7 linked regions of the Oryctolagus cuniculus genome follow. The protein of the gene in region 1 interacts with the protein of each later gene in a pairwise test. Links are inferred from orthologs where the notes say so. Each region holds a gene or a part of one and is shown on either strand. Other genes may lie near its edges.

The links.
Region 2: the proteins of NUDT18 (region 1) and RABAC1 interact in binary tests that used the Homo sapiens proteins (3 or more experiments, as listed by UniProt). The two-hybrid records come from large-scale screens. The link is inferred for Oryctolagus cuniculus from reciprocal best matches to the Homo sapiens genes NUDT18 and RABAC1.
Region 3: the proteins of NUDT18 (region 1) and GLUL interact in a two-hybrid assay, tested with the Homo sapiens proteins (2 studies listed by BioGRID and IntAct). The two-hybrid records come from large-scale screens. The link is inferred for Oryctolagus cuniculus from reciprocal best matches to the Homo sapiens genes NUDT18 and GLUL.
Region 4: the proteins of NUDT18 (region 1) and APIP interact in binary tests that used the Homo sapiens proteins (3 or more experiments, as listed by UniProt). The two-hybrid records come from large-scale screens. The link is inferred for Oryctolagus cuniculus from reciprocal best matches to the Homo sapiens genes NUDT18 and APIP.
Region 5: the proteins of NUDT18 (region 1) and RAB3IL1 interact in binary tests that used the Homo sapiens proteins (3 or more experiments, as listed by UniProt). The two-hybrid records come from large-scale screens. The link is inferred for Oryctolagus cuniculus from reciprocal best matches to the Homo sapiens genes NUDT18 and RAB3IL1.
Region 6: the proteins of NUDT18 (region 1) and PAICS interact in binary tests that used the Homo sapiens proteins (3 or more experiments, as listed by UniProt). The two-hybrid records come from large-scale screens. The link is inferred for Oryctolagus cuniculus from reciprocal best matches to the Homo sapiens genes NUDT18 and PAICS.
Region 7: the proteins of NUDT18 (region 1) and DUT interact in binary tests that used the Homo sapiens proteins (3 or more experiments, as listed by UniProt). The two-hybrid records come from large-scale screens. The link is inferred for Oryctolagus cuniculus from reciprocal best matches to the Homo sapiens genes NUDT18 and DUT.

Annotation. Positions count from the first base shown.
Region 1 is NC_091439.1:1,194,098-1,198,182, reverse strand, and holds NUDT18 (8-oxo-dGDP phosphatase NUDT18), read right to left. Parts: upstream 2,801-4,085; 5' UTR 2,695-2,800; coding exon 2,539-2,694; intron 1,897-2,538; coding exon 1,683-1,896; intron 1,396-1,682; coding exon 800-1,395; 3' UTR 457-799; downstream 1-456. UniProt on the Homo sapiens protein: Mediates the hydrolysis of oxidized nucleoside diphosphate derivatives. Hydrolyzes 8-oxo-7,8-dihydroguanine (8-oxo-Gua)-containing deoxyribo- and ribonucleoside diphosphates to the monophosphates. Hydrolyzes 8-oxo-dGDP and 8-oxo-GDP with the same efficiencies.
Region 2 is NC_091449.1:12,583,810-12,587,539, forward strand, and holds RABAC1 (prenylated Rab acceptor protein 1), read right to left. Parts: upstream 2,448-3,730; 5' UTR 2,307-2,447; coding exon 2,251-2,306; intron 1,978-2,250; coding exon 1,765-1,977; intron 1,661-1,764; coding exon 1,563-1,660; intron 900-1,562; coding exon 798-899; intron 720-797; coding exon 622-719; 3' UTR 501-621; downstream 1-500. UniProt on the Homo sapiens protein: General Rab protein regulator required for vesicle formation from the Golgi complex. May control vesicle docking and fusion by mediating the action of Rab GTPases to the SNARE complexes.
Region 3 is NC_091444.1:796,938-801,074, reverse strand, and holds the start of GLUL (glutamine synthetase), read left to right. Parts: upstream 1-1,337; coding exon 1,338-1,503; intron 1,504-2,148; coding exon 2,149-2,310; intron 2,311-3,230; coding exon 3,231-3,377; intron 3,378-3,469; coding exon 3,470-3,597; intron 3,598-3,715; coding exon 3,716-3,915; intron 3,916-4,137. UniProt on the Homo sapiens protein: Glutamine synthetase that catalyzes the ATP-dependent conversion of glutamate and ammonia to glutamine.
Region 4 is NC_091432.1:31,094,414-31,098,571, reverse strand, and holds the start of APIP (methylthioribulose-1-phosphate dehydratase), read right to left. Parts: upstream 2,801-4,158; 5' UTR 2,611-2,800; coding exon 2,554-2,610; intron 1-2,553. Other genes in the region: PDHX (pyruvate dehydrogenase protein X component, mitochondrial), read left to right, coding at 2,973-3,132. UniProt on the Homo sapiens protein: Catalyzes the dehydration of methylthioribulose-1-phosphate (MTRu-1-P) into 2,3-diketo-5-methylthiopentyl-1-phosphate (DK-MTP-1-P).
Region 5 is NC_091432.1:10,259,713-10,263,212, reverse strand, and holds part of RAB3IL1 (guanine nucleotide exchange factor for Rab-3A), read right to left. Parts: intron 1,055-3,500; coding exon 802-1,054; intron 147-801; coding exon 51-146; intron 1-50. UniProt on the Homo sapiens protein: Guanine nucleotide exchange factor (GEF) which may activate RAB3A, a GTPase that regulates synaptic vesicle exocytosis. Promotes the exchange of GDP to GTP, converting inactive GDP-bound Rab proteins into their active GTP-bound form.
Region 6 is NC_091439.1:108,079,519-108,083,018, forward strand, and holds part of PAICS (bifunctional phosphoribosylaminoimidazole carboxylase/phosphoribosylaminoimidazole succinocarboxamide synthetase), read right to left. Parts: intron 3,253-3,500; coding exon 3,169-3,252; intron 2,086-3,168; coding exon 1,905-2,085; intron 124-1,904; coding exon 1-123. UniProt on the Homo sapiens protein: Bifunctional phosphoribosylaminoimidazole carboxylase and phosphoribosylaminoimidazole succinocarboxamide synthetase catalyzing two reactions of the de novo purine biosynthetic pathway.
Region 7 is NC_091443.1:71,080,680-71,084,668, reverse strand, and holds the start of DUT (deoxyuridine 5'-triphosphate nucleotidohydrolase, mitochondrial), read right to left. Parts: upstream 2,801-3,989; 5' UTR 2,690-2,800; coding exon 2,488-2,689; intron 1,934-2,487; coding exon 1,795-1,933; intron 186-1,794; coding exon 94-185; intron 1-93. UniProt on the Homo sapiens protein: Catalyzes the cleavage of 2'-deoxyuridine 5'-triphosphate (dUTP) into 2'-deoxyuridine 5'-monophosphate (dUMP) and inorganic pyrophosphate and through its action efficiently prevents uracil misincorporation into DNA and at the same time provides dUMP, the substrate for de novo thymidylate biosynthesis.

The sequences.
Region 1 (4,085 bases):
CGTGGCTGGACACAGGCCTGAACACAGCCAGTGGCACATTTTGTCCCCTGTGGTTTTTCCCCTTGTGTTTTTCGCAAAGCTGAAAGAAATCCCACCATGGGTGGCCTGGGCTGGGGGCAGTGGAGAAAAGGGTTTCCAGCTTGGACTGGACTTGTGAAAAGGCCAGGCGGTGGAGGATCCGGCCCAGGGCGGGCCAGGAGAATGGAGCTGGGCAGAGACGGGGACACCACTCACAGCTCCCGTCCCACCGGCAGCTCTCTGCAGATGCCCGCTGCTCCACCCCGCAGGGTTATAGCTGAGCCTCCCTTGGGGCTGTGGTCCCCTCGGTGACGTCCTGCCCGGTGCCAGTGCCAGCACACTGTCAGGGAAAGGCCTGGGCGGCGGCCACTGCTGAGCCGGGGGCCACACAGCAGCAGCCCCCTCGTGTCCTCCCCACACAGACATTTGGGCAGGAAAGGCAGGTGGCAACACCTGTTTACTCAGCAAGGGATGCCCTCCTGGTCCCCTGGGAGCCCCAAGTGCCCGCAGAGGCCAGGGCGGGGCCTTCATGGGGGTGCACACAGAACAACGAGACTCCAGGATGCTCCCGCGTCCCCCTCCCCAACCCGGGGGGGAGACGCATCGTGTGCCCTTGGCGGCAGGGCCCTGGACCTCTGGACCCTTTGCTTGGTGAAGGCACTGTCCCTTCTGATGCACTGTGGTAGCCTGCTCCCCGCAGGCCCCGAGACCCAGAGCAGCCTCTGCTGCCGATGCAGCACGAGCCCAGATTGCTGGCTTCCGCGTCCCTCGGGGAGGGCACCTATCTGTTCAGTGGGACAGCAGAACAGTCCAGCAACCTCTGGAGGAGCTGGCCCTGCAGGCCTGCATCCCCCACCTTCCACCACGCGTAGTTCTCACCCCGAATCTTCGGGGGCTCCTCCTGGATGCCCGGGTTGCGAAAAGCCACCGCCAGCAGCACGTTCAGGCAGATGCCGTCGGCATGGTCCTTGCCCAGGTGCTGCAACCCCAGCAGCCCCTTGGTCTCCACGGCCAAACTGTGCAGGGTCAGGCACTCCTGGAGCAGCCGCAGCACGGCCACCTTCAGGCCGCCCCTCTGCTCCATAGGGGCGAAGTCACAGGCCGTGACGGGCAAGTGAGGCGCCCCCACCGTGCCCACCAGCACCCATACCGTCTGGGCACCGGTGAAGGTGGCCACGAGCCGCTGGCACACCACACTGCAGGGCAGCTCCTGGGGCAGAACGGGAGGGTGCCTGGCCTGCTGGCGGTACCGGGCGGCCAGCTCTATCAGGTGCAGGATGTCCTGGGCTCGAAGAGGAGTGGCCAGGGAGCTGCGTGGGTACCAGCCAGCCTGCAGGGACTCCGCATCAGCCTCCTGTGAGGTTTTCAGCGTCCCACCTAGGGGAGAGTGGGGGCAGGAGCAGTGGTGTGGGTGGGAAGAAGCACCGGATCTCACAGAGGACACAGACCCGGCAGGCCACCCTGGTTCTAACCCCGAGCGGGGCCGGGGCCGGGGCTGAGCCTCCCCCACTCCCACCTCCCCAGGCTAGGGTCTGCCAGTGCCAGAGCTGTAGCAGTCAGCACAGGGCTGGCTAGGGAGTGGGCTCATCTCACCGGAAGACCACAGGGTGGGGGTGGAGGAGTCGGAGGAAGGCGGCTACGGCACTGCCCCAGGAGAGCCATACCTGTGGGACGAGCCAGGAACACAAAACGGATCCAGGAGGGGCCTCGCTCCTCCACGGCAAGCAGGGTCTCGGGCTCACACTGCAGCCCCGCCTCCTCCTTCACCTCCCGCTGCAGGGCCTCCACGATGGTCTCCCCGGGCTCCATCCTCCCCGCCGGCAGGTACCACGACCCCCGGCACTCTCTCTTGGCCTCCTGGATCAGGAGCACCTCGTCCTGAGGGGAGAGGGGATTGGCACTCTCCACCACGCACGGGAGAGGCCAGCCAGCCAGGCCCTTCCCTGCCCTGGGGTTGCCCAAGACCCCCTCCCTGGGGGCGGGGGGCCTGCAGCCAGCTGCTCTCTGTGGGTCAAGATCGGGCTGCGCGTGTGTCTCCACTGTGTCACTGTGTGTCTCCCGCGTCCCCATGGGGTGCACAGCCTAGTGGCAGGTCCTCACTCTGGGGTCTGGGTTCTGATCCCCCCCCAACACCCCCATGCAGGCCCACCTGGGGCTCTGGCCCCTTCTGATTCTTATCTCACAGCCTACAACAGGGACCCAGAGCAGCGACAAGGGGTCAGATCTGAGCGTGAGCCTGCCTTGTGCCATAACCAGGCGGGGGTGGGGGTGGGGGGGCGCAGGCCACGCCTCAGACGTCCCGGGGAGCCAGCTCACACCGTGCTAGGCCCTGGGGGAGGGGAGCTCTGTGCTGCAGGAACCGAGGGCCAGGGCGCAGCCCTCTGTGCACCCGGCCACCCACAGGGCTGCGAGGCGCGCGTGAGTGAGTGCTTTGCAGAACTGGGGAACGCCACGCGCGAGGCGGCGCCGGCCCTGGCCGTTGTGTCTTCGTGCCCAGCAGGGCCCGGCGGGCTCGCTCACCTGCTCGTTGAGGAACACGGCCAGCACCACGTAGGAGACGTTGGTCCGCAGCCGCGCTCGCGGCTGCCCGGCCGGCCCCGAGTCACAGCTGTGCACGCGCAGCCCCCGGCCCTCCAGCACGGCCGCCAGCGCCCCCGCCAGGTCCTCCGAGGCCATCGGGCCCCGGCGGGCGGTGGCCCGGGCCCCGCGCAGCGGCCAGGCGGGGCTGCGGCCGAGCGTGCGGCCCGGCCCGCGCCGGCGAGCTGCCCAACGCGGAAGCGCCCGGCGAGCCCTGGCCGCTGATAGGCTGCGTGGCGCCGCGGCCCGCCCGGATTGGCCCGCGCCGGCCGCCCGGGGCGGGGCCAGCCCGTCAGGGGGCCTAACGCCCTGTGGGGCCGAGCGGACCTCCGGCCCGGCTCCTGCCCCAGGGTCAGCGCGCTGTCTCTCTCTCTCTGTCTCTTTCTGTCTCTCTCTCGCCGCGGCTCCCCGAGCGCATACTTGTTTACGCAGGTTCCGATGGTGACGCCATCTGGCCCGCAGGGTGCGGGGCGCCGCGGCGGTGACGTCACAGGCCCGATGACGTCACGGCGGCCAGGGTGTCCGCCCCGGGACCCGCGGCCCCCGCCTTTTGTCTTAACCCGCCAGGGCATTGTCTGAGATGATGACGACCTAAGTAACTTTCTTCTGACTTCGCTGACACGTACTGGATGTCCCGCCGAGGGCTGGGGTTCGGGAACGCGAGGTTCTGATCCATAATAAAAAGTCGGTTGAGGGTGACAGCCTAAATGCTAAGTGATCACGATCGGGGCGGGCCGGACGCGGGGAGGGGACAGGGCTGGGCACTGGGGGCTGCCCTTAGCGTCCTCCTGTCCACGGCGTGTCCTGCGCAGGGCGCTGCAGCGTGGCCAGCTCCCGCTCGCTCGGCTCAGCCTGACCTTTCCTCCTCGCCGCCAGCTGGGAGGAATCCGAAGAGCCAGCCAAGTCTGGGCTCCTCACCCACACAGGCCTCCCCCACCGGCCCCTCCTCCCTCCGCCTTCGGGGGTTGGGGACAGTAGCTGGCTGATGAGAGCAAAGCCACCCACCCGCCCTGCTGACCGGCCGGCTCTGCGCTCCTTGGGGATGTGGTGGGCTTCCGATTAGGTTCCTGGCAGCTTTTCTTGGCCAGGGTGGATGGCAAGGCAGGCTATTCGAGAGGAGCCGTGTGGGCCCCGGGCAGCCCCGGAGCCTGCAGGCTGGGCTACGCCGCAAAGGCCCACCCTCCTGGCTTGTGCCTGAGAACAGGTTCCACTGGGGAGCCGTAGACCCTTCTCGCGGTGGGGGACTGGCTGCACGCTTGCTGCAGACAGAGCCCTGTGCAGGGCCACACGGGCACCCCCTAAGCTTTTGAGGCACTTGCCCTGTCCAACACCTCTCAACCAGCTCCCTGGGGCTGGGTGCAGTACCCCAGGACAACAGATTGGCTCCGTGCGTGTGTGATCCTCAGTTTTCCCACCTGTGAAGTGGGGGCAGTACTGCTGCCAGACTCCCTTCTGCCTCCAGGGATGACTGAACGAGAGAGTGAGATCAT
Region 2 (3,730 bases), on another chromosome or scaffold:
ACAGGAGACCGGGGGGCCGCGTGCCAGTGACGTCACAGGAGACCGGGGGGCCGCGTACCAGTGACGTCACAGGAGACCCTGCGGCTGTGTGCTGAGTGACGTCACAGGAGACCTGGGGGGCTGCGTGCCAGTGACGTCACAGGAGACCCGGGGGGCCACGTGCCATGACGTTACAGGAGACCCTGGGGGCCGTGTGCCAGTGACGTCACAGGAGACCCCGGGGGTACATGCCTGTGACATCACAGGAGACCCTGGGGGCCCTGTGCTGAGTGACGTCACAGGAGACTGGGGGGCCCCATGCCAGTGACGTCACAGGAGACCCGGGGGACCGTGTGCCAGTGATGTCACAGGAGACCCTGGGGCCGTGTGCCAGTGACATCACAGGAGACCCGGGGGGCCGCGTGCCAGTGACATCACAGGAGACCCTGGGGGCCGCGTGCCAAGTGATGTCACAGGAGACCCGGGGGCCCTGTGCTGAGTGACGTCACAGGAGACCTGGGGGCCGCGTGCTGTGTGACAGCGTCACAGCTTTATTTCAGGAAGCCACCCCCGACATGGGGCACGTGCTGGCGGTGGGCAGTGGGCAAGGGTGGGCGCCCGGCTGGGGGCCTCGCTGACGCCTCACACGGGCTCCAGGGGCTCCATGTGCAGCTCCTCCGCGTCCACAGCCTCCACCTTGTGGAAGGCGGCGTGGGAGCCGATGACCACCAGGGTGGCCCCTGAGGGAAACGGGCGGCTCAGGGCGGGTCCCCTGGCCCGGCCCCGCCGCCACCCCGCCACCCCGGCCCGGCACTCACCCAGCACCCAGAAGACAGCGGAGCCGGCCCCAGCCAGCCAGAAGAAGGGGAAGGAGACGCCTCCGGCCAGGGCGTACTGATGGGCTGGGCTCACCTCACGGCCTGCGGGCAGACGGCATGGGCAGCTGCCTCCACCCGGCCCCCCAAAGCGGCCCCTGCCCCCTGCCCGGCCCCCAGCGTCCCCACCGCCTCCCTCAGCTCCCAGCTCAGCTTCCAACGGCGAGTCTCAGCCGGTGGAGGACACAAATGGACAGAACCTCACACGGCCGAGACGCCACCTGCAGCCTGGCGAGGCCAGGGTGTGGCTGGGCTTCCTCAGGGACCCCTCCCCGCTCTGCCAACCCCAGCCCCCCTGCCCTTGGCTCCCTGATCCCGACCACCCCCTGGCTGCCCCCCAACCTGCCAGTTCTGCTCGGTAGCAGGAGGCACGGCCTGGACTCCCCTCCCCAAGCAGCCCCAAGACCTCCCCGGTCCCACCCCGGGGCGCAGACAGGTGGGGAGGGCCAGGCCGGTGCAAGGGCGCCACCTGGTGTCCCGTGTGGGGACGTGCAGCGATGCTTCCCGCAGAGGCGGGGAGGGCGCGGCGGCTGGGGCAGGGCTGGGGCTTAGCCAGGGGGTGAGCGAGGGCGACGCGGGGGCTGAGGCTGGGACACCAGCTGTGTCAGGCCTGCGGGAATCCCGAGAGCCAGGCTCGGGTGAGGCCCCAGGGACGGGGACTTGGGGGCCGAGGTCTGCGAGCCGAGAGGCCAGGAGGTGACTTCTCACCGAAGAGCACGAGCTTGGACTGCAACGTGCGCAGATACAGGATGTAGCAGGCGCCGAAGAAGACGGCCAGGGCCACCAGCAGCATGGGCGACGTCACCCTGGAGGAGGAGGGCAGGGAGGCGGAGGTCAGGAGGTCAGGGCCCGGGCCCGGCCGCAGCGGGCGGAGGCCAGGGCGCCCTGGGCGTGGGGCGGGCCGGCTCACACGCAGTACAGGATGAGGCCCAGGAACACGAACACGTAGTTGCTCTGGTAGTACTCCACATTGCGGACCAGGCGCTGGCACAGCTCGCCCAGGTTGCGGGGCCGCGAGAAACGCCGCTGGTCCACGAAGGCGCCCCACGGCCGGATGGTCGCCCGGCGCCGCTCCAGCCACTCGCGGCCGGCGCCGGACGGAATGAGCTTCGGCAGCAGGGTCCTGGAGGGCGGGGGGGGGGGGCAGCGGTGAGCCGGGACCCCCGACCCCTCCCAGACACCAGCGGAGGGGGGAGGGGAGGGCCGGCGCCTGGGCCCTGGGGCGGGCCGGGGCGGGGCAGGGAGGGGCTTCCCCTGGATCCCGGGGGAGGAAGGGGCCGGGGGACCGGACTCGCGTCCTAGAAAGACGTTTCGGTGTCCGGGGGCCAGGACCCCCGCGACTCGAGGGGAGAGGAGGCCGGGGCCGGCACCCCCGGGTTACAGCGGGCTCGCTCACGTGGCGCTCAGCCCTTCGGCCTCGGCCTCCTTCTGCTGGTCCTTCGGGGCCGCCATGTCTACGTTGTGAAGGGCAGAACCGCTGTAACTGGCCCCGGGCCCTGCAGACCCCTCGGGCCCCGCCGGTGCCAGGCCTCACCCAGCGGCGCGGACGTGGCTCCGCGTCGGCGCCGCTGGGGGAGGAGCTCTGCTCCCCGAGCATTGTGGGAGTTGTAGTCCCGACGGGCGACTGGGCGCCATGACGGCAGTCTGGCTCGCAGGGCATTGTGGGAGTTGTGGTCTCTCTGGGCATTGTGGGAGTTGTAGTTTCAGGAGTGGGAGGTGGGGAGTTAAGTGTTGTGTATTCTCCCTCGGAGGGTCCAGTGGGGACCGTGCGGGGCTGTCGTCCTGACTCTAGAAGGCATAAAAATGTACCCTGGCGGGCTTGATTAAACACTGAATCCTAGGCCTCGGGCCCAAATGTTCCGACTCAGCCAGTCTGGACTGCAGGCCATGAAATCCGCCTTTGTATCAAGTCCCCCGCGGGCCGCATACCGAGCCCCAGGGTTGCAGGGAATTTGTGGGCGTCCGTTCCGTCCTCGAGAGGTGGGGAGCGGGCCCCTCCCAGGGATCCCGGGGTGAGTAGGGTAACACTCGCGACAGCCACGAGGGGTTGAGGAGAGGGTTGAGAATTTTACTTTATGTTTTACATTTATTTCAGAGAGAGACACACACACACAACTCCCATCCACTCAACCCAGGTCTCCCACACGGGACCCAGGAGCCCGATCATCTCCCAGGGCCCCAGAACCCGAACCAGACCCAGTCACTCCGAGGTGGGACACAGGTGCCTTAACCACTAGGCTAATGGCCCTCTCCCCTAAGAGAACTTGTTGTTCTTGTTGCTATTTAGTATTTTATTTACTTACAGAGTTACAGAGAGAGAGAGAGAGAGAGAGAGATCATCCGTCCACTTGTTCACTCCCACATGGCCACAACGGCCAGAGCTGTGCCGATCCAAAGCCAGGAGCCAGGAGCTTCCTCTGGGTCTCCCACGTGGGTGCAGGGGCCCAAGCAGTTGAGCCATCCTCTGCTGCCTTCCCAGGCCACAGCAGAGAGCTGGGTCAGAAGAGGAGCAGCCAGGACTTGAACCAGCACCCGTAGGGGATGCCGACATCACAGGTAGAGGCTTAGCCCACCATGCCACAGCGCTGGCCCCTAAACAGAAGTGTGTGTGTGTGTGTGTGTGTGTGTGTGTGTTTAAAGGAGCTGTCAGCTCCAGCATTGTGGCACAGCAGGTTAAGCCACCGCCTGTGACGCTAGCATCCCATATGGGCAATGGTTTGAGTCCCAACTGCTCCACTTCCCATCCAGCTCCCTGTCAATATGCTTAGGAAAACAGTGGAAGAGGCCTCAAGGAGCCGGCGCTGTGGCGTAGCGGGTAAAGTCTCCACCTGCACTGCCGGCATCCCATATGGGCGCCAGTTCGAGACCTGGCTGCT
Region 3 (4,137 bases), on another chromosome or scaffold:
CCGTCGCCGGCAGGGGGCGCCCCTCGGAGCCCTGCTCGCCGGAGCCCCACGCGGCCCGCACATCCCGCCGGCCCCGCCCCGCGCCGAAGTCGCCATCTTCGCTCCCCTCCCCCCGGCGCCTTGCGGGTCGTCCTCGGCCGCGGAGCCAATCAGGGCGCGGGGCGGGCCGGGGCGGGCCCGGGCGGTCGGGCCGCAGATAAAGCGCGGGCCGCGGGGCCCCGGGAGCCAGGACCGGAGCAGAGCGCCGCCGCCGTTGCGCGCCGGCCTGCGCCGTCCGACCCCGCCGCTCCCACCGCTCCCGCCGTCCCCGCCGTCCAGGTGAGTGCGCGGGTGGGCGCCGCCTGGCCCGCAGGGTCCCCGTGCCGCCGGGTGACCCAACAATGCGGCCGCGCCCCCGGCCCGCGCCGCGTCCGCCGGGCCGGGGCCGAGACGAGGCGCGCAGGGCGCGGGGCGCGCAAGGTGGAGTCGCGCTGCTCCCCCGGGGGCGGGAAGCGGGGGGGCCCCAGCCGCAAGGCGGCCCCGAAAGCCGCGGACGAAGATGAGGACGACGGCGCCTCGCGCTCCTCCGATTCCCCCTCCAACTGCTTCGGCTTCGTGGCCTACTCGGTGAACTCTGGGGAGAGGGCGCGCGCCAAGGTCAAGACCTCGGGCCCTTGGAGCGAGCGCCTTGCGTCCCCGGCGCCGTCGCCGCGGAAGCTCCGGTGCCTGGACCAGCACGACACGGAGCCGGCGGGGCGCGAGCGGGGGGTCCGGGCGGGGGGGCTCCGCGCCGCGCCGCACCTGCCATGGCCGGACCTGCCGCGGCTCGGGTGAGCGCCTGGAGCAAGGCGGGCCCAGGGCCTGGGGCCGGGGGACTCGAGCCCGGGTGGGCCCCGCCCAGCGCAGCCGCCGGCCCCGCCCGGGAAGCGGCGTCTGTTTTCCCTGCGGTGGGGATTTGGGGTCACGGCCTGTAGTTGCTAGAACTGTGGTTTGGGGGGGCCTCCCGCCCTCCGCCTCCTGTCCGAGGGTGGGGGTCTCCTCCAGGGCGGCAGCCTCGGCTTCTGAGCTCTCGCGTGGAGTACGAAAAGGGGGAAGCAGGCCCCGAGGGAGCAGATCCCAGCTCGGTCCCGGGGCCCAGGCCGCCACCCCCTGAGCTAGCAGCAGGAGTGGGGCTGGGACTCCGGGCCTGGGCTGCGTGTGAGTCGGGGCCTGGTGACCAGATCCGTCTCTGGGGCCGGTGCGCCGCCGGCTTCCTCCTGCGGGCTGGGCGTGTTGCTTGGGAGGGAGGGGCGGCCCCGGCTGGTGCAGGCTCGCCCACGGTGTCGTGTTGCTTCGCTCTCCCCAGAACGCCATCCACCATGGCCACCTCGGCAAGCTCCCACCTGAACAAGGGCATCAAGCAGGTGTACATGGGCCTGCCGCAGGGCGAGAAGGTGCAGGCCATGTACATCTGGATCGACGGCACGGGGGAGGGGCTGCGCTGCAAGACACGGACGCTGGACTGCGAGCCCAAGTGCGTGGAAGGTGAGTCGGCCAGGAGGCCGCCCCCGCCACGGCGGCCCCTGCGGGGCTCGGCAACAAAGGGACCCTGTGTTTGAGAGGAGGCCTGAGCCAGAACCAGGGTGTTTAAAAGGAAAAAAAAAGATTTAAAAGCTTTGCAGGGGTAGGGGGCGTGGCCATGCTGAGAGTCCCCGTCAGGCAGTGCCCATGCACCTGTTCCCGGGGGGCTCCTGCGTGGTCGTGGCCCCGTGGGAAGGGCCCCCAGGGGGTGCCCAGGACACGGAGTTGTGCACTGCCTGCAGGCGGCCGAGGAGCCCGGGGGCGCCAGGAACAGGTCTGCATAACCTGGGAACATGCTGTGGGCGGGTCCCGAGCCGCCTGCCCGGGGGTGGGGGTGGGGTGTGACTTCAGAGGTCTAGCATGTGCCTCCCGGTGCACAGGGGACTTCTGGGGGGAGGGGGTGACAGGTCCCTGGGGCGGTTTCTGTGACTTGTCTTCATGAGACAATGCCTGACAGTGCCTCGGTGGTCTTGCTGGGAGGCAGCCACCAGGGTACGCAGGGGAAGCAGCCTTGTGCCCCTCCGGGACGGGACCCCGCTGTGGGGCCGGGAGGGGGACTGGCTGCCTGCCTGCATGAGGCCTCACGGAATTTTCCGTCTGTCCCGCCAGAGCTGCCCGAGTGGAACTTTGACGGCTCGAGCACCTTCCAGTCGGAAGGCTCCAACAGCGACATGTATCTGGTCCCCGCCGCCATGTTCCGCGACCCCTTCCGCAAGGACCCCAACAAGCTGGTGTTCTGCGAGGTCTTCAAGTACAACCGGAAGCCGGCAGGTGTGTGGGGCGGGTGGGAGCCCCGGGCCTGACCTGCGAAGAGGTGGTGGTCCTGGAGCCGCCTTGGGTTCTGGGGCTTGAGCGTCCGTGGCTGCGCGCCGGCTTGCTCTGGAGAGGAGCTGCCGTGGCTGGGCCGTGGCTGGGCCGTGGCTGGGCCTGCCTGCTGAGGGCGTTGCATTCTTCTGCCTGTGCACTGGGGAGGGGGGGGGGCCTGAGTCCTGGGCTGCCCCTGGTGGGCAGTGAGCTCCCGAAGCGTCTCCTCATCTTGCGGTAGGGACGGTGACGACCGCGTCCTTAGAAGACGTGAGCCGGCACACGCCGTCAGGCCTGCTGGGGGCCGTGCTGTGCTGCCGTCCTCTGGGCCCCCGCCGCTCCTCGCGTGCAGCTCCGCCCCCCTTTTTCCTGTGCAGCCTCTTGCTCCCGCCAGTGAGGCTGCGGGGTCCCCAGGCCTCGGTGCCCCGGGGAGGCAGAGCTCCAGTGCCGAGACGGCCACGGGCCAGGGTTGTGGTGAGGGCTTGGCCGAGCGCTTCTGGGCGACACAAAGGTTGCACGGGTTCCTGGGCACAGTTAAGTCTGTGAAAGCCTTGCTAATGGGGACGCTGTTTCCAGCTGAGGTCACCTGACCTGGGTCTTCCTGCACCAGCAGCGCCCTGCTGCCCAGGGCGAGCGCCTCGGTCAGCCGTGGGCTCCAGGAGCCCGGGGAGGGAGGGGAGGGCGGGGCGGCCCGGTGCCTGGCTCCCTCGCCTGTCCCGATGGAGCTTGCGCCCCGGGGCCTGGTGTCGTGAGTTCGCCTGCGGCCCAGGTCCTTCAGGGTCGCCCCGCAGGTGCTGCTGTATGGCTGCTCCCGTTCTGACTTGCGGGGCGTGGGCAGGAGGTTGTGGGAGGTTGGCCCGGCGGCCCCTGACCCTGCCGCTCCGCAGAGAGCAACCTGCGGCACAGCTGCAAGCGGATCATGGACATGGTGAGCAGCCAGCGCCCGTGGTTCGGCATGGAGCAGGAGTACACGCTCATGGGCACCGACGGACACCCCTTCGGGTGGCCTTCCAACGGCTTCCCTGGGCCCCAAGGTGAGCCCCTCGCGCCCGCCCCGCCCCAGTGCTCGCCTGGGACGGCGGCAGGGAAGCCCTGGCTGCTGAGCCCTGCCCTCTGGCCTCTGCAGGCCCCTACTACTGCGGCGTGGGGGCCGACCGGGCCTACGGCAGGGACATCGTGGAGGCGCACTACCGGGCCTGCCTCTATGCCGGCATCAAGATTGCGGGGACCAACGCCGAGGTCATGCCTGCCCAGGTGACTGCCGGAGCAGCAGTGGGCACACGGAGGCTCAAGGGCCCCAAACCCAAGGGCGGGGCGGAGTCCAGGGCGGCGGGGCGCCTGCCCCTCTGACAGCGGCCTCTTGCGCTCCCAGTGGGAGTTCCAGATCGGGCCTTGCGAGGGCATCCACATGGGAGATCACCTCTGGGTGGCCCGGTTCATCCTGCACCGCGTCTGTGAGGACTTCGGCGTGATAGCGACCTTTGACCCCAAGCCCATCCCTGGGAACTGGAACGGCGCCGGCTGCCACACCAACTTCAGCACCAAGGCCATGCGGGAGGAGGACGGGCTCAAGTGCGTGTGGGCATGGCCGGGGGATGGGCCTTGGGGGTCAGGGTGGGCTTTGCAGAGCCCCCTGCTGGGAGCCCTGTGGTTGCTGGCGGCTGGGAGCCGGGAGGCAGGCAGGTCCACCCTGTGCACAGCTCAGACCCAGCCGGTGCAGGTGTGGGGAGACCCCCGGCTGCCACCCTCCGGGGTCCTGGGGTCCGTGGGGGCTGCGGCCGGCTGGACCTGGGT
Region 4 (4,158 bases), on another chromosome or scaffold:
GCCTGAAGTAAATCACTGGGGATTTAATTTCAGAACCATGAAATCTGTGTACAGATTACTGTTATGAGTTCAGTTTGACCTGAAAATAATACACCAGTGCCTGAAGAATCTTTGTAGAGTACCAGAAGAAAGTTGCTGAAACACAAATCACTCGGGGAAATTAGAGCACAGGATGATAAAATAACATTACTGAAAGGACTACAGAAGAAGGAAAGTAATTAAATACGGTTTAAGAGGAGAATGTTTATCAAAGGAAAAACAATAAACACACAAGTTTTTAGAAGGAAGGTTTTGGTGAAGGCTTCCAAGTATGTTTTCCTTTTTTAAATTTATTTGAATGGCAGGTGCATGTGCACACCCACGGACACACACACATAGGTGTATACTACCTGTTGGTCCACTTCCCAAATGCCCACAACAGCTGAGACCTGGCCAGACACCAAGCCAGGTTGTCTACATGGGTAGCAGGGACCCAACCCCTTGAGCCATCACCTGCTTGCTTCTCACAGTACACCTTAGCAGGAAGCTGGGATTGGGAGTGGAGCTGGGTGTCCAACCCAGACATCCCAAGCAGCATCTTACCCGTTGTGTCAACTGCCTGCTCCACCTTGCAACTCTTTAATGACGCTCTCTCTTCTGAGCTTGAGAATCATAAATGCAACTGCCCAGTTTATAAGACCACACACCGAGCCATGGACCTCAAAAGGCAAGGCTCATCACAAACCACTTCTCCCTCCTGTGTTCTTTCTTGGGGATCACCAAGCCCCAGTTACTCCACTAGAAACCTAGAAATCACTCTTGGTTCCTGCTTTCCTCAAATATAATACATCTAATCAACAAACTACACTGTCTTGATTTCACTGCCTACCTCCCACACTCCCGAAACTGCCATCCCTTGCCAAGCTTTCTCTTTTGTCTCCCATCTTGTCTCCCATCCCTTCAGCTTCACCTCGAGTCAGCATTTTGTGCTTTCTTTAGCCATCTTCTGGAGCATCCCACTGCCCTTAGCATACAAGCCTGTGTTCTCAGATTGGCTTATCAGGCCACACACGTCTGGTTCTGGTGTTCCTCTTCGGCCTATCTCTTCCCAAGTCCTTTCTCCCTACTTTACATTCTCTTGAGAGGAACATCAAAGTTCTCTTGACAGCCGGCGCCGCGGCTCACTAGGCTAATCCTCCGCCTAGCGGCGCCGGCACACCGGGTTCTAGTCCCGGTTGGGGCGCCGGATTCTGTCCCAGTTGCCCCTCTTCCAGGCCAGCCCTCTGCTGTGGCCAAGGAGTGCAGTGGAGGATGGCCCAGGTGCTTGGGCCCTGCACCCCATGGGAGACCAGGAAAAGCGCCTGGCTCCTGGCTCCTGCCATCGGATCAGCGTGGTGCGCCGGCCGCAGCGCGCTGGCCGCAGCGGCCATTGGAGGGTGAACCAACGGCAAAGGAAGACCTTTCTGTCTCTCTCTCTCACTGTCCACTCTGCCTGTCAAAAAAAAAAAAGTTCTCTTGACAATGAAGACTTAGTCTATCCCTGTCACTAAGAATTATACATGCCATTTCTCTACTTGGAACCCTTCCTTTGCATTTCATGGGACTATGTCTTCCTTTAGGCCTTAGTTGAGGCCTCATTTTCTCCAGAGGCGTTCTTTCATCTCAAGTCTGTGCCCCATACAGTATCCTAAACTTTCTCATCACAGTATGTCCCAGTCATACTGTCCTTATCTCTGTTCCTATTTTCTATCCCCCACTACACAGAATGCCCTGTGAGGGAAGGAACCAGATGTGGCTTGCACTGTGTAAAACCTACAATGCTAGGTTCATAGGAAACACTGAACGTGCGTACTAAGTTCAGTACTTACAATTGAAGACTTCCCTTAAGGCCAATGAGACCGTCTCTCTCAATCGTCTCCAGATACCCTAACACTACACTGACAGGGTGTTAACACTTCTCTAATTGCTGCTCCGATTCGATTAAATGTACTTGTGTAAACCAAGCGGACACAGAGGTCGGGGGCCCAGTGCACCTCAGCGCACATGCAAGTCTCTGAGTAGTGGAAGCAGCGGCCAGGAAAGGTGGTGCTCGCCACTCAGCTCCATCCAGATCCCACAATGGCCAAGGCCCAGCACCGCCATGACTGGCCAAGTTCTAAGCGAGGCTGAAATTGGTCCCGATTTCCAACTGTTGGTTCAAATCTTTCATGAACACGCGTGGAACCAAAACACGTCTGTCAAACTGTCAGGCTTACGACTGGGTTGAGACTCCTACTTTATCCGTGGGTCCCTTCATGAAGGGTCACTTCGATGCTGGTATTTCAACGAGGTTTACTTTGGGGGCCTGCCTACACCCGTGTGTGACTATCTTCCAGTCGCCCAAACACTCTCCTCACTCCGTTACCCGCCCTTCTTCAGGGTTCAGCCCCCAGCTCCCGCCGCCGGCCGCGCGACTGGCAATGACAGAAGCCCCGCCCGCGCCCGCCCGCGCCCGCCCGCGCCCCCGCGCCGGGCCCGCGCCCCGCAGCGCCTCGCCTCCTCCCAAGAGCCGGACAGCCGCGGCCCCGCCCCTACCTGCGCGCCACAGCGCCGGGAGCAACAGTCTCCCTCCGGAGCAAGGCGACCAGACATGACTTGGACTAGGATGATCCTCGGCCTCTCGTCTTCGCAGGACTTTGCGTTCTCTCGGCGCCCCGCTTGGGCTAGTGCGGCGAGGCTGCAAGTGCAATCAGGCGGCGCTGAGGGCAACCCGGTGGGGCGGGGCCTGGAAGGGCCTCGCTGGCTGGGGGAATCCTGCGAAGCCGCTGCCCGACAGGGAGGCGTGGCCAACGAGGTTGGAGGCGGTTCCCGGAAGTCTCTGCAGTGTCCGAGCCCTATAGGTCCGGCTGGCGTCTTAGGGGCGTGGCCTGCCAGATGGAAGGTGGGGCCAGGGAGGGCCTTGGGACTGGGCGATCAGGCTGTGCTGTGGGCAGCCCGGGAGAAGGCCGGGAAAGATGGCGGCCTCCTGGAGGCTGGGCTGTGACCCGGCGCTGCTGCGATACCTTCTGGGCTTCGGTGGCCAGCGAAGCTTGGGTCTGGTTAAGGGGGCTGCTAGGTGCTCTGTCGGCCGCGGGGCTAGTTGGAGATGGCTGCACAGCACGCAGTGGCTGCGGGGTGAGTGCAGGGGTGCCCTCAGTTTCTCTGTAGCAGAGCAGTGGGCCCGGGGTCAGGGACGTGATGGACAGAGGTCTTGTGTCTGGGTGTGGAGGTGCCCGGCTCCCTTCTTGCTTTCCTCTTTTCTCGTGGGTGGGTCCGCTGACTTGGCCTGATGTATGCCGCAAAGGGCTTTCTTGGGAGCTGGGAGATTTTGACTCTGTCCCCTGATTCGACCTTGCCTTGGAATTTGGGTTATTTGTAAGGCCTATCTGTGTGGTCAGGCATCTCGGCACGCGAGAAGCTGCCCAAGGTTGAGATTCACAGCCATGGCTGGCCGTTATTCATTCGCTAGGCTCGTCTCGTTTGGGAGATGTAAGCTCTTCGAGGCCACTCGGGTCTCCCCACGCGATGACCCGTAAAAATCATAATTTGTACATGAGGCATTACAGACATAAGTTCCAGAAAATATTTCAAGCAGAACATTAGCTCGAAAGGGTGGAACTTGGCAGGGGCTAAATGTGCTATAGAAAATCGCCGTTTGGTAGTGATGTTGATTGACAGCAATTGACATACAGTTCTAGTATTTAACCGTGCACTGTGTGAAAAGGCTTGCCCGGCATAATTCTTCCATGCACGGGGCCGGGGTAGAGGGTAAGAGTGGGGCGAAGAATGGGATTAACATTTTTACCCACCAGTCATCATTCCTGGCACTCCACAGAATGAATTTTTACTTAAAAAATTAGAATGGACATTGGGTGCACATTGTGAGCTGCTTGTGGCTGGGAAAAAGAGCTTTGCAAAGCCCCACGGGTAAGATGAGTGCTTTGCAGTTGCTAAAGATTGGGGGATGGGAATATTTTATTTCAGTTTCTTCAGGCTGATTTTCATAAAATACCCCCTGGAGCAGTGGTTCTTCGGCAGTGTGTGTGTATAGAATTTTTCTATAGCTTCCAGAGATTGTCTCAGATGGAGCACAGGGATCTGCATTTTACAACCAACCTTAGGTGACTTTTGATAGAGTATACCTTGAGGCTCACTACCTTA
Region 5 (3,500 bases), on another chromosome or scaffold:
GAGCCGAAGGCAGCCCAGGCCTGGGCTCCCCGGGCTGTGCCGCAGCGTACCTCAAACAGACTGGCCGTCAGCTCCTCCAGCTCCCGCTCCAGCTGCTCCCGCACCTTGGATAGCCGCTCGCACTCCTCGTCCTTCAGCCTCAGCTCCTGGGGACACAGGGTAGGGGCTGGGAGCTCCGGGGAAGGGCAGACGGCACCCGACCGGGCTGCTTCCTCTGGACATCATATGTGGAGCTCTGGGCCTGAGCTCACTTCTTCAGGTGTGAGTTTATGGTCCATTTTTAGCTCACAGTGAAAGGCTGGAACCTGCCCATCAATCCATCGCAGGTTAGAGGGGTCTTAGAATAGGCAAGGCTCGTGAACACCATTTAAAAGGTAAGGAGTGAATGTCTGACCTAGGGGCTAAGACCCCACATCGCACATAAGAAGGCCTGGGTTCCGCTCCCGGCTCTGGCTCCTGACTCTGGCTTCCTGCTGATGTGCACCTGGGGAGGCAGTGATGACGGCTCAGGTGATTGGATTCCTGCCACCCACAGGAGACCTGGATGAGTTCCCGCCTCCTGGCTTTGGCCCTGGCCTGAGGGCCAGGGCAGGCGTTTGGGGAGCTCTCTTTGTCTCTCAAATAAATTTTTAAAAATGTTCAATAAAAGACGTAAGAAGAATCGCTCTCTGCCTTGTGCCCCCTGCGTGCCTGGCCCGGGCCTCGGATGCAGCACACGACCCCTCTCCCTGGGGCATCTCTGGGCGTCCCCAGGCTGCGTCCACCCGCCCAGGGCCGGCTCTGCGCGGCCTCAGGCCTCACCTTCTGGGCTTTGTGCAGCTCCTCCTTCAGGAACTCCGAGCCCTTCTCGCGGATCTCCATGGAGGAGCTGCGCAGCCGTGACATGTCCAGCCGGGCAGCTGCAGGGCCCTCCTCACCCTGGGCCTCCTCCCTCACGCAGGCCTCCACCAGGGCTCCTGGGGCCTCCCTGTGGCTTTTGCAGGGGCCTGCACTGTTCCAGGGGACAGGGACAACTGGGAGGGGCGATGGGAGGCCCTCGTCTGGCTGGGGCGAGCTGCAAGGCAAACAGAGGCATCAGCAGGTGCAGGATGGGGTCCTGAGACCTGGAGGGCCAGCCCTGGGCAGCACACCTCCCACCTGGGCCTCAGTCTCTCCATCTCTGACATGGGGCCGGCTATCACCAGGGTTGTCACTGAGGCAGAGTGGCCACGTGTGAGGTCAGGGCTCCCGCATCTCCGTCAACCACCCCCTCCAGCCCTGCACCTAGATCTGTGCCTGACACACAGCAGGTGGTCAACACACAGCCATCACACAACTCATTTTTGCTGAACAGGTGAGTGTACAGTTTGAGAAATCCAGGGGCTGGCGTTTTGGCGCAGTGGGTTAAAGGCGGCTTGCAATGCAGGCATCCCAAATCGGAGCGCTGGTTCAAATCCTGGCTGCTCTGCCTCCAATCCAGCTTCCTGTGAAAGCGCCTGGGGAGGTAGCAGAAGATGGCCCAAATACTTGGGTCCCTGCCACCTATGTGCGAGACCCGACTAGAGTTCCAGGCTCCTGGCTTCTGCCTCCACCAGCCATCTGAGGAGTGAATCAACAGATGGAAGATCTCTCTCCGTCACTTTGCTTTTCAAATAAATAAACAAATCTTAAAAAAAAAAAAAAAAAAAGAGCTTGAAGGCCGGCACCGCCGCTCACTAGGCTAATCCTCCACCTGCGGCGCCGGCACACCGGGTTCTAGTCCCGGTCGGGGCGCCGGATTCTGTCCCGGTTGCTCTTCCAGGCCAGCTCTCTGCTGTGGCCAGGGAGTGCAGTGGAGGATGGCCCAGGTCCTTGGGCCCTGCACCCGCATGGGAATCCAGGATGAAGCACCTGGTTCCTGGCTTCGGATCGGCGCAGCACACTGGCCACAACACGCCGGCTGTAGCGGCCACTTGCGGGGTGAACCAACGGAAAAAGGAAGATCTTTCTCTCTGTCTCTCTCTCTCTCTCACTGTCTAACTCTGCCTGTCCAAAATAAATAAATAAATAAATAAATAAATAAATAAAATATGTTATCTCAAAAACTGAAAAAAAGAAAGGGAAGGGGAGGGAGGGTTATGGGAAGGAGGGAGGGAGGAAGGAAAGACCATTATATTTTTAGAACCGTATCTACAAACTATACTGAATCTGTTAAAAACTAATTACAATTTTTTTTTAAAAAATGAACAACGAGAAAAACAAAAGAGCTTGAGAACTGGAGTCCCTGTTTCACCAAGTGGGAGCCTCCCACCCAGTGATGGTGAATCCCAGGGATGGGGGTGGGGGGTGTGGGTGAGATCTGAGCCCTCGGAGTCGCTCCAGTGAGAGCTGCCTTCATTGGCATAGTCACCACGATGCGGTTCCTGCAAATGTTGGTGGGAAGTAGTTCATGGAAAGTCTGCCCCTTCCCGTGCACAGCGGAGCGGAGGGGCAGGCCAGAGCTGCAGGGCTGGGGCAGGAAGGTCCTGCAGAGCCCTGGCAAGGCAGACCCCCCTCCTGTGCTTTGCAGGGAGCAGTCGCGGCACCACCCCCACCTCTGGACTCCTGGCCTGCCTGGCAGCCTCCTGCAGGCACCCCTTTTCCTGGGTCTGGGGCCCTCCTTCCTGAAGCTGAAGCGGAAGACCCTGGAGGCAGCGTGGGGCCTCTGTCCTCGCTCTGCCCCCATGCGCACGCCCTGCTTCCACAGACCCTGGAAAGGGAAGGGGGGAGGGCTTGGTGGTTTGTGCCAAGACAGCACCTCTGGACTTGCTTGCTCAGCAGAAAGTCCCGGCTCCTGAGCCAGCAGCTTCTGACCGCTGGGGCAGGGCCGGGGTGGGGGGCTGGGCCAGGGCGCTGATAACCAAGGGGAAGTTGCGGAAGGAGACAAGAGGAGAAACAGGGCCAAGCGAAAGGTGAGACTGAGGAGCGCTGAGGGGTAAGGGTGAAAGGCAAGTCTGGGGGCCAGCACCCTGTTCTCGGGACTCTGGGAGGCCCCCAAGCAGCTCCCAAGCCTCAGTTTCCCTCTTGATAACACAAAGGGACCCAGCAGCCAGCAAGTGCAGCAGTGAGCCTGTTCCCAGCCCTTCGCCAGGCCCTGTCCAGCTGCCCAGCTCAGCCTGCCCTGGGCTCTGAAACTGCCCATTGTACAGCCTGAAGCTCCTGGGGCCGGGTCTGTCTGGCGGGGAGTTGGACTTGAGGACGAAGCTGGGTACACTGATTGCCACTCCCTCCCACAACAGGGTCTGTGGGACAGGGAGGCCCCCAAGACCCTTCCCTGGGTGGGTTACGGGAGTCTTGTTGGCCAGGGCTCCCCGACACTCCCAAGAGTCTTAGCCCCCATGGGCTGGGGCCTGTACCCAGGGGACCCACCCTGTTCCATGCCCTACCCAGGGTGCCCGACACCCTGCTCCACTGAACAACACTCTCTCAACGGCATTGATGGCATTGCCCCCGCTCTACAGAGGGGGCCCAGAGAGGGCCTGGAGTCACACAGCGCTGGCTTG
Region 6 (3,500 bases), about 110 Mb from region 1:
CTCCCCAGTCCGAGGTGAGTGGGGGACAGCTGAGAACTGGATACGCCGTGTTACCCGCCACTACTGGGCCCAAACCATTGCTTCTGCCTGCCACTGCCACGAACACAGTAGGGATGCCATCCCCTAGGGAAACCACACGTTTACCATGCCGTTAAACATTCAAAGGAGATTTAATACGTTTTTGTTTTAGAAAGACCTCTAGGCATTAAATTCTTGAGTTCTTCAAGTAGTGTTCTCTGGAGAAAGCATAAATGAGACCCAATTAGGAGACACATGCTCATAATGTAGGTTCACTCTGCCACTGACCATAAGTCAGATAATAAAGTAGCTTGGATATGCTGGGCCATGTTTAAGTTCTAGAATACAAGGGGATGTGAGAGGGTGTCTGGGAGGATGGCTCACAGGCCTCTTCTGCTTTGGCTGCTGGAAACAAAGGGTGTCAACAACTGAAAAGGGATCTTTTCCACGGAGCAGTCCTGCAATCAAAAGGGGGCCAGGGACACCCGCTTAGCAGTGACTGAAGGTTCAGGTGCGCTTCATGGAAAAAAGAATTGAAGGCAAGTTTAATAATATATTATCCTTGGAGTTGGCACTGTGGCAAAGCAGGTAAAGCCACCGCCTGCAGTGCCAGCATCCCCTATGGGCACTAGAGTCCCGGCTGCTCCAGGTCTGATCCAGCTCTCTGCTGTGGCCTGGGAAAGCAGTAGAACACAGCCCAAGTCCTTGGGCCCCTGCACCACCTGGGAGACCTGGAAGAAACTCCTGGCTCCTGGCTTCGGACTGGGGCAATTCTGTCCGTTGCAGCCATTTGGAGAGTGAATCAGCAGATGGAAAACTTCTCTCTTTCTGCCTTTGCCTCTTCCCCTCTTCCTTTCCAATAAATAAATAAATCTTAAAAAAAAAAAAAATTATCTAGGGCTGGGCACTGATGACCCAATGAGAGCTGGTTCGAGTCCCAGCGGCTCCACTTCCGATACGCTCCCTGCTAACACACCCAGGAAAGCAGTAGAAGATGCCCTGAGTATCTGTGTCCCTGCCACCTGCATGGAGTTCTGAGCTCCTGGCTTCGGTCTGGCCCAGCCCTGGCACTGATGGGCATTTTGGGAAGTGAACCAGCCAGTGAAAACTCTCTCACTCGCTGTCTATAATTCCTCATTTCAAACAAATCCTTTTTAAGACGCTCTATTTGAAACATATTAAACTGTAAACATACATGCTTGACTCAATCATTTCATTCTTTAATGAACTTATTAAAAGTATCCCTTTCCTAAAGCAGAGATTTGTAACCTAGAATCCAAAGTTGAGTTTCTTGGTCAAAGAGTTCTAGGTTCATCAGCTCACCAAGGGGTCTGAGACCTCCTCCTGCCTGCCACCTCCCTCAAATTAACAAGTGCATTTCCACAGCAATTACCTGTAGAAGGAACAGCCAACCACTGTTTTTTTCAGTTGAGATACATTTGGGTTGTAAATCCAGGTCTCTATTTTAGATTAATGCTATCCCATCATGTACTATGTACTGCAATATTTCTTAACGTTGTGTTTGACTGCTTCCCAGGAAGGGCAGCTCATTCCCAGAGAGCTCTCCTATTCCAACTCTGGGACTCTCGTGATGGACAGCAGCCATCATACGTTGGCGCACATTAGAAAGAATGCTTGGGGTGTCTTCAGCAGGTGAAGACCTCAGAAGTTCTCACACTTTTACTGTCTACCTTTCAGCCTACAGTTGCAATTCTTCCCCCTGCTCCTTTCTTTTACAAGCTCCTGAAGTACTTTAAGCTCTTTGGAGAGGAGTACCACACAAGCCTAGCATGGCACATGATGGTCCCTTGGAGCTGTGGGAAAGCTCTCTTTCAGGGTCATGAAGTCCAAGGAGCACCCAGAGGGCGCTAATTCTCTGAAGTTACCTTCATACTCAGCTTTAATCCTCAGGGTTTCATCTGGTCCTTTATGGGCAGATGTTACACGGAGTTCACATGGGATTCCAAAAGCTTCACAAGCCTTCTTGATTTTTGCACAGTGACCGAGATCAGAAGTTGAGCCCATCAAGACTACGACCCTACACTCACTTTCTGATTTCAGAAGCAACTGGAAAAGAAAACCACAGAAAGAAAAAAGAAAATAAAAACAAACATGAGTACCATAAGAACAGTTGATTTACAGAGGTACAGTCTGCAATAAAATTACATGTGTGCAGAATATTTTCTTAGACCAAATTTAAGATAAAAAAACCAAATGATAGAGGCTTAAATTTTTAAAAATAAACTCTCTATATTAAGGAAAGTGGTCTTCATAATCAAGACATAAACAGGGGACCAAGACCAGGTTCTGTTGCTGCTTACAATGCTGGCATTGCACACTGGAACACCAGCTCCAGTCCTGGCTATTTCGCTTTCAATCCAGCTTCCTGCTACTGTGCCTGGGAGGGCCGTGGAAGATGGTCCAAACCCTTGGGCCCCTGCTACTCATGTGGGAGACCAAGATTGACTTTGATCGAGGGAGTAAAACCAGCATATGGAAGATCTCTGTCTCTGTTGCTTTGCCTTTCACATAAATCTTGCCCCCCCATCAGACTTTTAGTCAGATAAATTATGTTTATTAATAAAAATAATACATACTCAAATCTTTTTTAATTAATAGTCAGGAAACTACAGCAAACTATTTCATTCTAAGTTTTAGGGCATTCTGTTTAACGGTGGTTCTTAAGGTATAACAGGCCAAATTTAGAAATCATGCTATAAATCTTTTCCAGTGGGTTGCCCAGAGCTCAAAGTGTCTATTCTCATGTAATTAATGTTCTGAAAGGTGAGTATGAGCCTTGGATAACCACAAATCCCATTCAGCTTCTATGGAATTATAGTACAAATACCATACGCATTAAAGCAGTGTTTTAAAAAGCTACATGAAGTTCTATCCACCCCGAGGTCAAAACCCTGAGCAGTGAGGGGAGAAGCAAGCAGGAAATGTAAAGTTTCTTCTACCAGGGCGGGCAGGCATGGACAGGCCAACTCGACAGCAGAAGTGCCAGTGTACAGGCTGCCCACTCCCTGTAGGGGCCTCTCTCCTGCAGAGTCGCTGACAGAGAAGCACTGCGTGTGTCCACACCTTGTGTGAAACAGGATTTTCTCAGAGGAGAACACAATACAGTACAGGTTTACTGTGAAGGTTTACCTCCACTCTCTCTGCAACCCACTCGAAGTTCTTCTTTACCATCTGGAGCCCTTCAGGAGTCACTTCTTTGAGGTCACGGTAAGACTAGAAAGTAAGACAAGGTTTAGAAAACAAGTGTCTTCCGCTGTCGGAAGCTACCTGGTTTCTGGGTTTGGGGCAGGGATCATGAAGGGTCTGCCCTGCAAGTGATGTATCTAAAAATGTATCTACAAATTCATTTCCACAATTAGACAAAGCTCAGCTGCAAAACAATTTTACTTTCACATAAGATGAAATGCTTTCTGCACTAGCAAACATGATTGCCTGCCCTGGAGATCTTAAGTATAGAGAGG
Region 7 (3,989 bases), on another chromosome or scaffold:
GCAATACCCCTTTTTACTTAACAAAACTTACATGAAAGACCACATCACAAAGGGAGAACTTGACAAAATTTACCTGCTCCTTAAATTACATACCTATTCTTCCATAGCATCCAGAAGGAAGAGCTATCTGAATGTCCGTTTTCACAATGGCTTTCTCCATAGGTGGTACTGTATAATCATAAGCACTAAGAAGATATCGAAAGAAAAGAACTGGTATTTACTTACAATTGTTTTTACATTTTCTTTCCTTGTGACCAAGCACAGAAATGCTTTAAATATATTTCATAAAATAATTCATACAATCTTCTTTTATCTTGCTATGATGAATTTCAAATTCTTTTTTTAAAAAGTTTATAAAGCAGAAATTTTCCTTTTGCATATTACTAAATTGACGATAGCTTAGATATAATTCTCTGTGAATTTATTTTAGTGGAGAGAAGAGATGTCAACATTGTAAATGTCTTCACCCCTGAACAAAATGCCACTGGGAGACTTGACAACTACTTCATAAAAATTCAAGAGATTTTACAATGAGAAGTGGAAGTTACTTTGGAGACTTCAATTAAATCTGTTAAGGTATTACTATATTTAATATATAGATTATATTGAAATTTCCTCTTTAAATAGCTAAGCCCTGATTTACTAAAGGGTTAGGTTATTTCCACGACAATTGTAGTATCCAGAAGGTCATTTATATTCATTAGGTGGATGCTTAAAGTATTTTAAATCAGTCTCCCATAGGACTCACAACAGTGCCCAGATATACACTTGGGAAGGATCCAGTCAAACGATTATCACTCTACTTTTATCCATTAAAATTAAGAGACTACACTACACCGCTTTGGGCTATGGCAGCCTACCCATCCCACTTCTCTTTTCCATTCCTCTCTCTGGTACTGCCATCATGCACTCCTCTCTCCCCTTCTCCTGTACTCAGAGCACAAATTCTCACATCTGATTACTTGGAATGCCCTAAAAATGAATCCAAATGCTTGGAATTTAATCACAGAACACCACCTCCCTCCCACCATCCCTTTTCAACTATGAACCAAGCACAGTCAAAAACAAACAAAAACCCACTAAATTCAGGGTAAAAAAAAAATTCTATGACATTCGAGCCCTGGGGCAGATAAATTCACATCTTCATATACTCCTTTATCTGCAAAAAGGAACACTCATCTAATTCAAGATTCTCGTGAGGATATAAAATAGTATAAGGGAAAGCTTTTAGTACAGGCCAAGGGGCTGAACGAATGAAAGGGTGTGCCTGGTGTCCCTGCTTCTCATAGTCGGGTCCTTACTGAGGTGGATGCATATAGAAGCAAGCCTTGCAGGCAGGTAGCAGCAGCATTCATTCACCTCCTGAGAGGGGTTCTCAGCGTACGAGAAGCCAGTCTCCCACCTAGGCTTTCCTTTCTAATGCGCACCGTGTCAGCCTCAGGCCACGCTCTGAGGGCCAACACCGACCCTTTTCATCTCCATCTTCCACTGGATAAGGGCATAACCAGTGCCCAAATAAAAACCCACCCGGGTAGACACATCATACGTGTCCTTATTTACCATGCTACACGCTGCAGCCAAATCCCTATGGATTCCCCGCTAAAGCCAAAAATTAACGTTTTGCAACATAGAAATGTCGGTCGGTTTATTTTGGTCACTTTTTCGGCGAATGTTTCCAGTTAAATGCAAGCTGACTCGACTTCGCGCGCTCTGCACCACCTCTGAGGCGGTAGTAGAGAGAGCGGGGACACATGGTGCGGCCCTTCCCAGCTTTCTTCCCGGGCCGGCACCCACCTGTACAGGTCGTAGCCCGCGGCCCGCGCAGACCCCCGGGTCGGGGCCGTAGCGTGCTCCGAAAGGCGGGAAAAGCGCAGCCGCATGGTACCCTCCTCCGCAGCCCGGGCCCGCTTGCTGGGCGAGATGGCCGGTGCCTCTTCAGAGCAGGGCATGGCAGCGTGACGGCGCAAGCGATAGCAGAAGCGGGAAGAGATGGGGGAGGGGACAACAGAGCGCAGAATGAGCCCAGCCCCGGGGACCACCACAATCTCTTTAAAAGCTTCCCGCCAGTTCTCCCCCGCCCCGCCCCACCTCCCGGACGAGCCCACAGCTCCGGCGGAGAGGGGTGGAGAGGTTCAAATTTTAGGCTGGGAGGCCGTCTCTCTGACCAGGTTTGGGTTTGGAAACGATGGAGCCTCTTAAAACTTCACGAACTCAAATCATGGCCCCAGACCTATGGAGATGGCTTCCGCCGTGTCGTCCGCAAGAGACCGACAACGACCCCTACCCTCCCACCTAGAGATGGAATGGACTCGCTCTCGTGCGTAATTAGGCCCAGCGTTTTCCCCCTCCCCCTACTGGCACACGCCAGGGGCTTTCCTCCCTGGTCGCGCGCAGTGCCCTCCCTGGCCCCTGGCAGGGGCGGTGCAGCGGCCCCCAGCCTCCCCACGCCTTAGAAAGCGAGCACTTGCAGCCCGGCCCCGGCTTTACTGGCTCCGCTGCAGCCTCGGCTCCGGCGGGTAGCGCTGGACAGCAGCCGACGCTGCGTGGCGGGGCCGAGGGGCGGGCCAGGCCCGGAGAGTCCTGCGCGCTCAGGTCGCAGCCGAGCGCGCCATGCGTCCGTAAACCCCGCGCTGAGCAAAGACGGAAGGAAACGGTAGCGGGCCGCGGGCCGCCGAACAAGGGCAGTCATTTCCTCAGAGGTTTGCGCTGGTTGGTGGTCGGCGCCCGCGGACGCGCGCCAGGCCGTGCGCCCTAAACGCGTCCCGGGCTCGTGACCTCGGAAGTAGTAACCGCCTCTGAAGAGAGGCGGCGCGTAGGTTGCCTGGAGCAGGCGCAGGCCCCCGGGGGGCCCCCGAATCCGGCCCTCGGTGTCTCCAGTCCCGGTGCCGCCTCCCGCCCTCGCCCCTCGCCGTGTTCTCGCGCCGTCGGAGGCTGGGACAGGGGGCCCTGCTCCTCGGCTGCTTACCCGGGGCGGCGGCGGCGCCCGTGGCCATGGCTCCCAGGGCTCTGATCCCTGGGGCGCTCACTGCGCATCACAGTGCCCGCGGCGGTCCCTGCGCCCCGGACCGCTGCCGAGGCTGAGCGCGAGGCTGCGCGCCCGAGTTCCTGGCAGTTCCGAGGGCGCAGGACGCTTGTAAAGGAGGGAGGGTGAGAGCTGTCCGCAAGGGTAGCGGCGTCGAACTCTTGGCATTGAGGTTCCGCCTGACCCAGCAGAAGCGCAGAGCGGGAGTCCCGTGTCCGGGTTTCGAACACAGATCCTGGGCCACGGTGGTTTACCTTACAGTGGGGTGAATACAGAAGTGTCTAGATCATTGTAAAGCCACTTCCCTGGGATCCACACGTCCCTGGTTATCTCCAGAACGGACTGCAAAATCATGCACTTTACTTTTCAAAATAAGTAGGCGCTCCAGGGCATGCTGCTATTTTTTTATTTTTTTGATACCATAAATTTTCTGAATTAGAATAGTTGAGAATTGAAGTCTCTTACCCTTTCTCCTTCCCATCTGCCATATAAGGATGTTCTCAGCAGTTAATATTTACTTCATCATGACTCCATCAATATCATTTTTGCCAAGACAAGTAATAATATTATTTCATTTTTTTATATCTGTCCCCCTCAAGTTAATACCTTGTTTTTCCTTGTCTTTTTGTTGGTGGTGTACTTAATTTACCTACATAGCATCAAATGAAGCATCTAAATACATCAAATACCTGCAAGTTCTATTTCCCCTTAGAACCTTTCTCCAGCCTCCAGTCCTCCCTCTTCTATTTTTTTTTTCTCTAGTCTGTACTAGTGGCTGTAAGTCCTGCTGAATAGCTGTCATCCAGGCACTTCATTCCCTTTACCTCTCTTGTACTAGAGCCTTGTTTTTATGGCTTAGTATCTTCCTCTTAGTTTACTCCCTTGTTTTGCTGAAGTACTTTCTCTAGTAATTTCCTGCAAAAGTGCAGGGGAAATAAATTGAGCCCTTCTAAAATGTTATGATTGT